3 linked regions of the Nothobranchius furzeri genome follow. The protein of the gene in region 3 binds, or shares a complex with, the protein of the main gene of each other region. Links are inferred from orthologs where the notes say so. Each region holds a gene or a part of one and is shown on either strand. Other genes may lie near its edges.

Evidence for each region.
Region 1: the proteins of gdf5 (region 3) and rgmb are in contact, whole or in part, in a crystal structure (PDB 6Z3J), measured with the Homo sapiens proteins. The link is inferred for Nothobranchius furzeri from reciprocal best matches to the Homo sapiens genes GDF5 and RGMB. Residues at the interface, in NP_000548.2 of Homo sapiens: Leu396, Arg399, Phe435, Pro436, Leu437, Arg438, Ser439, Asn445, Val448, Ile449, Leu452, Ser455, Met456; in NP_001353437.1 of Homo sapiens: Gln57, Thr60, Phe63, Val64, Thr67, Ser68, Leu70, Asn71, Tyr88, Leu103, Val104, Ser107, Ala108, Leu110, Gly111, Ile112, Asp114, Leu115, Gln118.
Region 2: the proteins of gdf5 (region 3) and hjv are in contact, whole or in part, in a crystal structure (PDB 6Z3L), measured with the Homo sapiens proteins. The link is inferred for Nothobranchius furzeri from reciprocal best matches to the Homo sapiens genes GDF5 and HJV. Residues at the interface, in NP_000548.2 of Homo sapiens: Met412, Trp414, Trp417, Phe478, Asp480, Ser481, Lys488, Tyr490, Met493; in NP_001366281.1 of Homo sapiens: Arg95, Arg98, Gly99, Leu101, His104, Ser105, His108.

The regions. Positions count from the first base shown.
Region 1 is NC_091757.1:44,843,396-44,846,201, forward strand, and holds the end of rgmb (repulsive guidance molecule B), read right to left. Parts: coding exon 2,084-2,806; 3' UTR 646-2,083; downstream 1-645. UniProt on the Homo sapiens protein: Member of the repulsive guidance molecule (RGM) family that contributes to the patterning of the developing nervous system. Acts as a bone morphogenetic protein (BMP) coreceptor that potentiates BMP signaling. Promotes neuronal adhesion.
Region 2 is NC_091745.1:60,112,861-60,117,273, reverse strand, and holds the start of hjv (hemojuvelin), read right to left. Parts: upstream 2,848-4,413; 5' UTR 2,622-2,847; intron 1-2,621. UniProt on the Homo sapiens protein: Acts as a bone morphogenetic protein (BMP) coreceptor. Through enhancement of BMP signaling regulates hepcidin (HAMP) expression and regulates iron homeostasis.
Region 3 is NC_091743.1:78,134,683-78,139,017, forward strand, and holds the start of gdf5 (growth/differentiation factor 5), read right to left. Parts: upstream 2,921-4,335; 5' UTR 2,377-2,920; coding exon 1,749-2,376; intron 1-1,748. UniProt on the Homo sapiens protein: Growth factor involved in bone and cartilage formation. During cartilage development regulates differentiation of chondrogenic tissue through two pathways.

The sequences.
Region 1 (2,806 bases), on a different chromosome or scaffold from region 3:
TGAATGTTTTAGAAACAGTTAAATTTCATATAATTTCTTTCAAATGGACTAATGATTTCTGTTTGACTTTTCAGACATCTGAAAATAAAGAGCTGCTGATGCACAATGTGACTCTGAGTCGAGCTGAGAGGATTTCCACCCTACAAGATGTTCTCATCCTCATGAGTGCCTTCATAAAGATGGGTTGAATGTGGGTTTTCAGTACAGTTACATGAACTTGAAGATTTAGCTGTTAAAAATCCTCAGTGGCGCCTTTTTGAGTCTGTTCCCGGCCCAGGTGTCGCTGACTGTGGCAGTTGAAAACAGATTGTGTTTGTGAGGCCAAACCTGGTATCTGATCGAAGCCTAACCTCACACAGGTGTTTTAATGCTTCTATCTGTTGTGTGTGTGTGTGTGTGTGTGTGTGTGTGTGTGTGTGTGTGTGTGTGTGTGTGTGTGTGTGTGTGTGTGTGTGTGTGTGTCTTTAAACTTGTGTGTGGAAGTTCTGTTAGTACGAAATGATCCAGATCTTGTATTACAATAAAAAGAACTGAGAGATCTGGTCAATTTTACACCTTTTTTAAAAATCTTTTTGTTTGTTTTTGGCATTCTTGATTTGTCTATTATTTCATTACAAGTCTTAAATGTTAAAGTTAAGCATCATGAACCGTTTTGACTTTATTGTAATAAATAAAACACAAGCACACATTTTGTTTCCTTTTTGTTTGATTTTGAGCGCCTTTAGTAACACACCGACAAAGCAAGAGAGCACCACTAGGTGGCAGTACAATCACAGCTGACATTTCTTTTAAATAATTATCCAACAGCAAGAATATGGAGCTTAACTTCCTCTACGGGACACTACGTTTATAAATAAGTTAGTTATTTCAACACTGACCAGTCACTCTTCACCAAACTGACACTCACATGATGAAAAGAGATCACAATGTGAAAAACTTAAACTGATCTACATATGTTACATATTTATAGGGGTTGAATTTTCTACCAGGCATCAACGCTGCGCTTGCAAATTGTACAACAGCACAGTAAGGTGAAGTTTTCCCAGTCATCCGACATTTTTTTAAGAATTATTCCTGCATTGCTTTACATGCATCTTAATAAGAAACATCCGGAATAGGGAGAAAACAGATTACAAGTAGCTAATTTAAAACAAACAGGATACAGATGCTGGTTTGGTAGAGAGTTCCTGTACAGAGAAACATAAATGATCGGTCTTTGGCTCAAATTGTAACAGAAAAATACGGCGAGTACAAAACGTGATAGTGTAGTCACTTAAATTTGGCAAAACGATTGGAATACTTCTAATGTGACTCACGTAAAACGAAGCCACATTCTTCAGCTGCTTTCAAATAAAGAACCTGACAAGTCTAAACACTTTTACACACACACACACTTGAAACCATTTACTAACAAAGTACTGATGGCGTTTGCTGCAACGCCATAGCTAATACATTCAACAGAAAACCTCACATTGACTGAGTCCAGTCAGCTACTGGTAGAATGGTGCATTTAAACCAAAATGTCAGCTCCAACCATTCAAATGACTTTATCTTTAAGAAAAAGTGTGATGGAACAACGAGATACAGAGAAAATATGAACAGTTGTGAGTTTTGGTGGAGGACAGAAAGTGAAGAAGAAACACTGACTGGCATTGTGTGGAATAAAATGTTAAAATAAAGTGCTTTTGTTAAGAAAATCCTCTGTCTGAGGTACTTTTTTTTTTTAAAAATCACATCAAATGGCAAATCAAAAAACATCAACATCATTACAATGTGCACGGAAGAAATAAATGATCTATTTACAGTCGATTCATCCAAATAACAGCATTGGTTTTATTGTCGGCTGCATTTTCTGATTCTGGTTCTGACAGACAGTTTTCCTGTGCACACTGGGAGGGGGGCTCATCGCCTCTTTTAAACGACTTCCAGTTCCCAGTAAGTGTCCCGCCTGCTGCCTCCTCTCTGCATGAGAATGGCATCAGTATTCATTATCAGTGCTCAGCAAAAACAATCAAAAACAATGTCCTAAACTCTCTTCCTACTGCGCGCGCACACACACACACAAACATGGGCCTACATGCATTCAGGCACACATACTGGCTGACGCCACAACAGAGCTCAAAGCGCACAGCAGGAGCAGAGCGAAATGTTTGATAGACTGTGAATCAGAACGGAAGATGGATGTGGCAGAACCACGGGGGTAGATCCTCCACCGATCCTGGTGTGGATGGAGACTTTCCATGTCCTTCTGAGCGCTGTATGCAGCCACTGTGAAGTTAGCGTCCCCGGTGGTCAGGAGATCAAACACACAAGAGTGGAAATAAATGTCCAGCACCTCCAGCTGCTCTCTGCAACGCTCCTTCGCCCCTTCAACACCAAAAATCTGCGTGGCGCCATAGGGATGTGCTTGTGTCTGTGAGGAGAAACTGGGCTGACGCAACTGCTGTCGCTGTAGACCGAGTGCTGGAGGAGACAGCGGGAGGGGAAGATGTCCCGCCTGGTCGATGCGCTCGCTGCCGGGGCAGCCGTTCAGACACAGCTGAAGGTCCTGGGTGTCATCGTAGTCCTGAGCCAGCTCCTCAGGAATCCGCACCGCCAGCGTCAGGTAGCGTCCCAACTGGCGAACAATTATAGTTACGCCGATGTATCCAGCATGCAGCTCCACATGGCGCCCAGGACTGCGCTCAGAGATCCACAGAGCCCGGACCTTCCCAGCTGCACCATCTGCTCCAAGAGACTTGTGGATGGGGTCTCCACTGCTCACCGTCCCATCATCAAAGGCAGCAGGAAGGTTGTCTGTGACAGC
Region 2 (4,413 bases), on a different chromosome or scaffold from region 3:
AACCTTCAGACTTCTAACAGAAAAAAGATTCAAAACTAACTGTATTAAATTAAAAAAGTTTGTTTGATTTTGAACGTTTGATTCATCAGATGAAGATTTGTTTCAGTGTTTTACTTCAGATGAGTTTCAACATTGTGTCTCGTTTTAGGCGTGTGGATGAAATCTTATTGATTAAAACTCGTTTTTTTTCTGCACTTTTATTTTTTCAGCTCATAAAAATAGGATTTCCACATTTAGGAATAATAAATTTAATCCAATCAAGAGAGAAAACAGAACATCAGGAAACCAGATTTTAGATCCAACCTGGATTGTCAAAGAGCTCTCTTTAAATTTTAACCCAGAAACCTTTCCTTCTGTCTTGGTTTTGTCCATCAATTAAGGTGTTTTCATTCATTTTGGTATGGGATATGGCAGGCTGCTGGTGAATGTACTAATACTGATGCTCCAGGGTTAAAGGGTTACAGGAAGTTGGGCTGCTGGAAAAGTATCAGACATTGTGATGTCAGTAAATCATTATGTTAACAAATGAATCATGACAGGAGTAAAATGGTGGCATTTCTGATGTTTCTGCTCCAGACATCAGACGATTTAATCAGCAATGAGCTGATCTTAGATCTGATCAGTTCAGTCATTTAGGGTTAACATGTTGGAACGGCTGTGTGTGAAGGCTAAATTTAACACACGCACGCATGCACGCACACACACACACACACACACACACACACACACACACACACACACACACACAACTTAAAAATACACACGTCTGGAATGACTGTTATTTATATCTTAGGCTTAAGGAATCTTTATACTCTAATGCGTTTGTTTTCACCAGAGCTTTACAGATCTGTTCTTCATGTTATTTTTTCTTTTCCTCTCAATCAAAATCTATTTAAAAGGTGGATCGCAGGGTGTGTTCCAACTACAGGGGGATCACACTCCTGAGCCTCCCTGGTAAGGTCTATTCAGGGTTCTGGAAATAAGGGTCCATCGGACTGTCGTACCTCAAATTCAGGAGGATCAATGTGGTTTTCGTCCTGGCCGTGGAACACTGGACCAGCTCTATGCTCTTAGGGGGATCCTGGAGGGTGCGTGGGAGTTTGCCCAACAATCTACAAGTGTTTTGTGGATTTGGAGATGGTGTTCCACCGCGTCCCTCGGGGGGCCCTGTGGGGGGTACTCCGGGTGTATGGGGTACCATGTCCTCTGATCCGGGCTGTTAGGTCCCTGTAGGACCTGTGTCAGAGCTTGGTCCGTATTGCTGGCAGTAAGTCGAGTTTGTTTCCCGTGAGAGTTGGACTCCACCAAGGCTGCCTTTTGTCACTGATTCTGTTCATAACTTTTATGGACAGGATTTCTAGGTGCAGCCAAGGTGGTGAGGGGATCCGTTTTGCACACTTTTTGCAGAGAATGTGGTCCTGTTGGCTTCATCAGAACGTGTTCTCACTGGAGCAGTTCACAGCCAAGTGTGAAGAGGCTGGGATGAGAATCAGCTCCACCACATCCGAGACCATAGTCTTGAGTAGGAAAACGATTGAATGCCTTCTCCAGGTCAGGAATGAAGTCCTGCCCCAAGAGGAGTTGTTTAAGTATCTTGGTGTCTTGTTCACGAGTGAGGGAAAGATGGAGCGCAAGATCAATAGGCGGGCTGTCGTGGTGAAAAGAGAGCTTAGCCAGAAGGCAAACCTCTCGATTTACCGGTAGATCTACGCTTCCTACCCTCAGAGTAGATCCACTGCTCTTCCACATTGAGAGGAGCCAGTTGAGGTGGCTCAGGCGTCTGATTATGACGCCTCCTGGATGCCTCCCTGAGGTTTTCTGGGCACGTCCAACTGGGAGGAGACCTAAAGGTAGACCCAGGACACGTTGGAGGGACTACGTCTCTCACCTGGTCAGGGAACGCCTTGGGATTTCCCCAGAAGAGCTGGCCCAAGTGGCTGGGGAGAGGAAAGTCTGGGCCTCTCGATTTAGGCTACTGCTCCCACGACCCGACTCCGGATAAGCGGAAGAAAATGGATGGATGGATCTTCAAATTAAACATTTTAGATACTGAAATATTCTACTTTCAGCCATTATTACATATCTTACAGGCTCAAATAAACCCTCAGCTGTAACTAATGATGAATAACAACAGACTGTAAAACATTGGGTGTCTGTAGCATTTAGTTCAGTGCGACTCTATTAATATCACATTTATAATGAAGATTTTCTAGAATTTGACTGAAAGACAACAAAATTATTACACATCAAATTAAAATGTGTTTCTTATTAAATTTTATGTTCTGCGGCTAAATGTGACAAATATAAATATTTAATAATTTTAGTCAATAAAAGGCAACAGAAACATTTAAAATCTAACTGATTTTGAATATTTTGATTCTGATTTTGAAAATCAAAAATAAGTAAAACGGCCACAATCATCTGTTGCTTTTTTTGGTGTTTTAGTTGAGAAATAATCAGATTTACTTTTGTAGGTACACTGGTTTTTGGTTAGGGTTAGGGTTAATGAACTGTGTGTGTGCGTGTGTGCATGCTTGTGTGTGTGAATTCTCATGTTGGATTTGTGTGTAAAACTAAAGTTTTTAATGTGTAAACATTCCATGTTTATTTTAGTGTCTCACCTCCAGCTGGTTCAGGATCAGAGTCCATCCATGAGCTCCGGCCGCTGGAAGAAAACCAGCAGGAAAATAACTTTAAAATTGTGAAGGTCGGATCCGTCCAGAACTAAGAGGGCCTGAGAGGTCCCACCCTGGTTCTGGTCTGAGCTTCGTGCTGCATTTACAGCTGACTGGGAGCTTCAAGCGTTGCTAAATAAATCCCCAACGACCACCTGCTGCACGACAACTGTCCTCACTCACTCACACACACACACACACACACACACACACACACACACACACACACACACACACACACACACACACACACACACACACACACACACACACACACACACACAATCACACACACACAATCACACACACACACACACACACAATCACACACACACACACTCTCTCTCTCTCTCTGTCTCTCTCTCTCTCTCTCTCTCTCTCACGGACACACACTAACATGCACACACACGCACACACACACACACACACACACACACTCTCTCTCTCTCACACGGACACACACACACACACACACACACACACACACACACACACACACACACACACACACACACACACACACACACACACACACACACACACACACACACACACACACACTTCTCCATTTATTTTTATTTCAGACCTCCAGGAAGATGAACTCTGTCCGTCTCTGGGTTCCAGGTCATGTTTCATTAATCTGACGGTTCTCACTCCTCCAGCCTGCTGAATGAGGAGGAATCAGCTGAGCTTCATGTTTCTAACTGATGGAGTAAAACTGAAACATGAAACTTAGAATTAAAACCCAACAGGATCCAGATTTAAGATCAAAGCTAAAATCAGAAATACTTTTCAGTTGTTTTCATCAGTGAGAAAACAGCAAATAAGGAGAACCTCTCCATCCAAAGCAGGGTCCTCCATCCTGTGGGCTGAGGACCGGTACCGGTCCATGGACCATTTGCTTCTGAGCTGATAAAAACATCTCTTTAAGATGGTTTTTGTACACATTTTAATTACATGATCAGTCTACCATTTTTTTTGTAATAGAAATGTCTAATAGTTGTTTTCATTAGTAACACTATTAACAACTTTATTACTAATATTTATAACATCACCCATCCTTGTTGACTGGAGATGACCTGCCCACTCACCTGCACCAATCAGGTGTTTTTAATTATCACATAACCAATTTTTATGGTGAACCTGGAGGATCTGAGGTTTACTTTTACCATCTAACAAAGGTGATTTTGCATTGGTTCACACAGAGGGTGTGAAAACTCCGTTTTCGTGTGGATGACAGGCCAAAACGTTGAAAAATATCTACTTTTGGCAGATCCCCGGCTACGTGTGGACAGGGCCCAAGACAATCCATCCCACCTCCCAGGTGTGGCATATCAAAGGGCTGATTAGACGGCATGAATAATGTACAGGTGTGCCTTAGACTGCCCACAATAAAAGGACACTCACAAATGTGCAGTTTGATCAAACACCACAACACCACAGATGTCGCAACCATTGAGGGAGCGTGCAACAGACTGACTGCAGGAATGTCTACCAGAGCTGTTGCCCGTGAAATTAAATTTCATTTCTCTACCATAAGCCGTCTCCAAAGGAGTTTCAGAGAATTTGGCAGTACATCCAACCAGCCTCACAACTGCAGACCACATGTGACCACACCAGCCAAGGACCTTCACATCCAGCATGTTCACTTCCAAGATCGCCTGAGACCAGCCACCCGGACAGCTGCAGCAACAACTGGTTTGCATAACCAGAGAATTTCTGCACATACCGTCAGAAA
Region 3 (4,335 bases):
AAAAAGGTGACAGGTCTGCTGAGAGGGGTGCGTGGTCGACCTGTCATTGTGGCATCGGACTTTGGGGGGAGGGGTCGTTCGCAGCCGGGTAGGGCTGCCGGCGACGAAGATAGCTGAACAGGTGTTTAGTGTTCCAGCGCCAGGAGGGAAGGCTGGTCGCCTTCTTTAGACAGTTAGGGCTGGGCATAGGTGATGCCAAGGCCGCGCCGACATCTGCCGCTACGGACTCTGGCAGTGGACTTATGTTGTGGATTTACCCGCCGTCCTCGCAAGCTACACCCCGGGGCGTTGGACGGCGTTGGAAGCTCAGACCCCGGGGACGGGGGTCACACCATCCGTGACAGCTAAGTACCGCTGCTTACGTGACTCATGCTGGACAGTTGGTTTTACAAGAGAGGGCTTGGGCCATGGTGTTTTATCGTTGTGTTTTATTATTGGTTGTGCAATAAAGTGTGTCTTTTATAAGTCGTTGCCTACTGGTGGTGTGTTCAGGTTCTGACCGGAGGGCAAGATATTCTGCCCGTGCTGCCCACGGCTACTTTTATTACAATAGCATTGGTTTTGTCCTCATTTAGATGAAGGTAATTAGAGGAAAAACAGGTTTTAATTACAGAGGAACGATCCTGAACACAGACTGCAGGAGAGCTTGGGCTGACATAGTAGTAGTCAGTCATCTGCATACATGTGTAGCCTAGTGAACTAGCCCAGAACTAGTCTAGTGAACTAGACCAAACTTTGGTCTAGGAACGCTCCACTAGAACCTCTGCAGCCCCTAGCAGCATTCTGGCTGGCCAATCACAGCTCTCTAGAGGGGTTTCAAACTGATAGAGCGCTGTGATTGGTCCACAATGGTGGGCCGGTCACAGTGACCTATCTGCTTTGTGGACCAATCACGGACCTCTGTTTGTCTGGTGGGCGGGATGATGCAAGAGTGGAAAAAAATGGCGACCGCTCATTTTAAATGGGTTTTACATTAATTCTGGACTATTGGGACTTGGGCTTTATTGAACCAGGAGCAGATACACGTTTTTAAGTTGTTTATTTAGAAAAAGGATGTATTTTTACCTTCTACAACCTCGTTTATCGACATCCGTTGTGGTGAGTATGCCACGTTGTTCATTGTCCAGTAGCGTGCGGGAGATCGTTTGAAAGGCAACTGTAGAGCCCGAGAGCCATCGATGGAGTGTTGCCGGACTTAATAATATATTATTTAGTCGGGCTTGCCAGGCATTAAATGTGATAGTTTACTAAGTTTTTTTAGAATGATGCCTGGAGGAAGTATGTAGATCGAGAAAAGCTAAGGACCCAAAACTGAACCCTGGGGGACCCTAGAGGTCGAGAAGAACAGTTTTCAATGCAAACACTAAAATATCTTTTATTCCAGTATGAGCTAAACCAATCACAGGCCTTCCCTTCAGATCCTGTTCTTTCTCCTACTGATCCTAGATCTGTGGAGGTCTACAGAGCCCTCCTTCACCAAATCTTCACTCAGAACTAAATGGTTGGTTTTAAGTAAGGTTTGTGTGTGAGCAGCAGCAGTGATGTTTCCCTACAACTGAAACATGACCGACAGAACATTCTGCTGCTTCCAAACCATCTGATCCCAGAACTGGATCCAAATCCTAGGAAAGTTATTCAGTTTTTCATTTCTTTCTTTCTTTCTTTCTTTCTTTCTTTCTTTCTTTCTTTCTTTCTTTCTGTTCCTTTGAAAGCCTATAGTCTTCGTTATAGAGGACAGAGACAGTTACCTTGTCCCTTGTCCACAAAGCTGGTGATGGTGTTGGCCAGAGCCGCGCTGCTGTTCACGTCTCCGCTGCTCAGTGACCAGTACAGAGACAGCATGTAGTCGTGAGGGGTCACCACCGGCTGCCTGGCGCCTGGTTTCGGTGACTTGATGCTGACGCCCCGCTCCACAGCCGCGCTCTGTTTTTGCTCATACCCGCTGCGCGCAGCGGCGGCTGCTGCGCCCGCCCTGGAAGCGGCTTTCCCCGGTGAGCCACCTCCTCCAAACGTCTCAGTTCCTTTCCTGGCAGCATTTGCGTTAACAGCTGCGGGCGCGTGCGCTTCAACACGTGCCTTAGCGGCGGGACGCCAGGAGCACACAGCCTCTCTGCACGCGGATCTTTGCGCTCCGTCCTGCTGCGGCTGGTCCAGCCTCCCCGGTGCAGCGGAGATCCCCGCTGGTTTCTGACTGGCAAAATTCGTCTCACCTGTGGTCGGCAGCGCACTCACGCGCACACGAGGAGCTGGTTTCCAAGAGCCAGCGGTTCCTCCCGTTCGCTCCAAGGTGGTTCTGGTTCTGCTGAGCGAACCGCGGACGGGATGCAGGAAGACTATCGTCCAGCTGAGCAGAAGGGGAAGATTCTTCACTCTCATCCTAAATCTCTGCAGCCTTTTGGCACATCGTCTATAAATCTCTTCAGAACGATCTGACCCGCTGAGCCGACACCAGGAGCGCGGGAAGTTCAGTGACCTTTCTCATCCTCAGACCCGTGAGGTCCAAAATGCGCGTCTCGCTCCCAAACGCTAGAGAAACGGGGTCTGACTCTCACAGGGTTAAAAGAGTCATTTGGTCAGGGTCAGGTGTCAGAACCATACTGCTGATGGTGGACAGGTGAGACTCTGAGACCTGGACCCGTCTTCTGCTCTCCAGCGAACTGTTCTGCTTGGTACCATGTAACAACTTCTTTAAATCCCACTTCTTTTTTCCATGTGAGGAGAGTATGGCGTAATGCGGTTGCCTCCGTTTTTTCTCTTTCCCTCCAAAGCTTGAACTCTGTCCAGTGAAAATATTTCACTCACACACAACAACCCGCAGGTGCTCCAGAATCCTGCAGCAGACCTGAGCAGGAATTCCAGAGAGCGGCTTTAATTACGCCGTGATGTCATTCTGTCCCAACTCATTTAACAGTGATAATTCAGCCCACATCTTCCTCCCTCTTTTACACACACACACACACACACACACACACACACACACACACACACACACACACACACACACACACACACACACACACACAAATTATGATAAATGATAAATGACCCACTTTTGTATAGCGCCCGCCAGAGTAAGGACTCCAAAGCGCTTTACAGTGTATCATTCTTCCATTCACACACTGATGGTGATGAGCTACGATGTAGCCACAGCTGCTCTGGGGCACACTGACAGAGTTGAGGCTGCCGAGCACTGGTCCCTCCGACCACCGCCAGCAGGCAAGCTGGGTTAAGTGTCTTGCCCAAGGACACAACAGCAGAATTCTCTGTCCGGAGCCGGGATCGAACCTGCAACCTTCCGACTACTGGAAAACCCGCTCAACCTGTTGAGCTACTGCTGCCCCACACACACACACACACACACACACACACACACACACACACATCTGTGTGGCTCTGAAGAGCTGCAGCAGCTGGATGTTTCCTATTCTAAGGCCAGATGAAGGAGACTGAGGCTCCAGTTACTTTATAAAACACAATGAGATGAAGCCCTGAAGGTGAGTCCCAAGCTGGAGAACACGTAGACATCTGTTGAGGTTTGATCTGAAGACCCCAAAACTCAGATTAAAATTAGGACTAATCATTAGCTTGAGTGAAGCCTCTGATAATTCAGTAGAGAAAAGCAACCCTCACATCTGACCTCCTTCCTCAGATGATTATATGGAAAAAGATGCATTAAACCTTTCATAAAGTCATGAGTCTACAGATTAGAGAGAAGTTTAGATTCTTGTTTTTTAAATATTTTAACATGTCATGGCTGACCAAATGGGCTCCATTCATTCACCATTAGTCATGCTTAACTTTTGCTGCAGGTTTTGCACCAAAGAGCCAAAAGACTCTTTCCTGTTTCAAGTTGCTGTTGGTGCCAAACCCTCACTAAGTCACATCACAGGAAGGTAAAGTGGCAGGTTGATGAAACAAACCATGACTTTGACTCAGAAATGTTTTCATCTGCATGGAGTTCAGAGCGGAAATAAAACTCTGATGAGGTAGGATGAAGAAACAAAACAGGACTTCTTCTCCTGTTCCTTTAAGATGTTCTTCAGCTCTGATCCTGGGTCAGGAGTTCAGGACTTAAACCTCATCCAAGAACCTTAAACAGTAATCAGAACCATGAAAGTCAGGTGACCTATTTGGTCGTCACACACACACACACACACACACACACACACACACACACACACACACACACACACACACACACAGACACGCACGTGCACACACACACACACACACACACACACAGATGAGGAATGAATAATGACCATGTAGTATACTCTTACTGGCTCTTGAGTATCGGCTATGCCTGGAGACCCCGGGACGCATGCAGAGACCTGG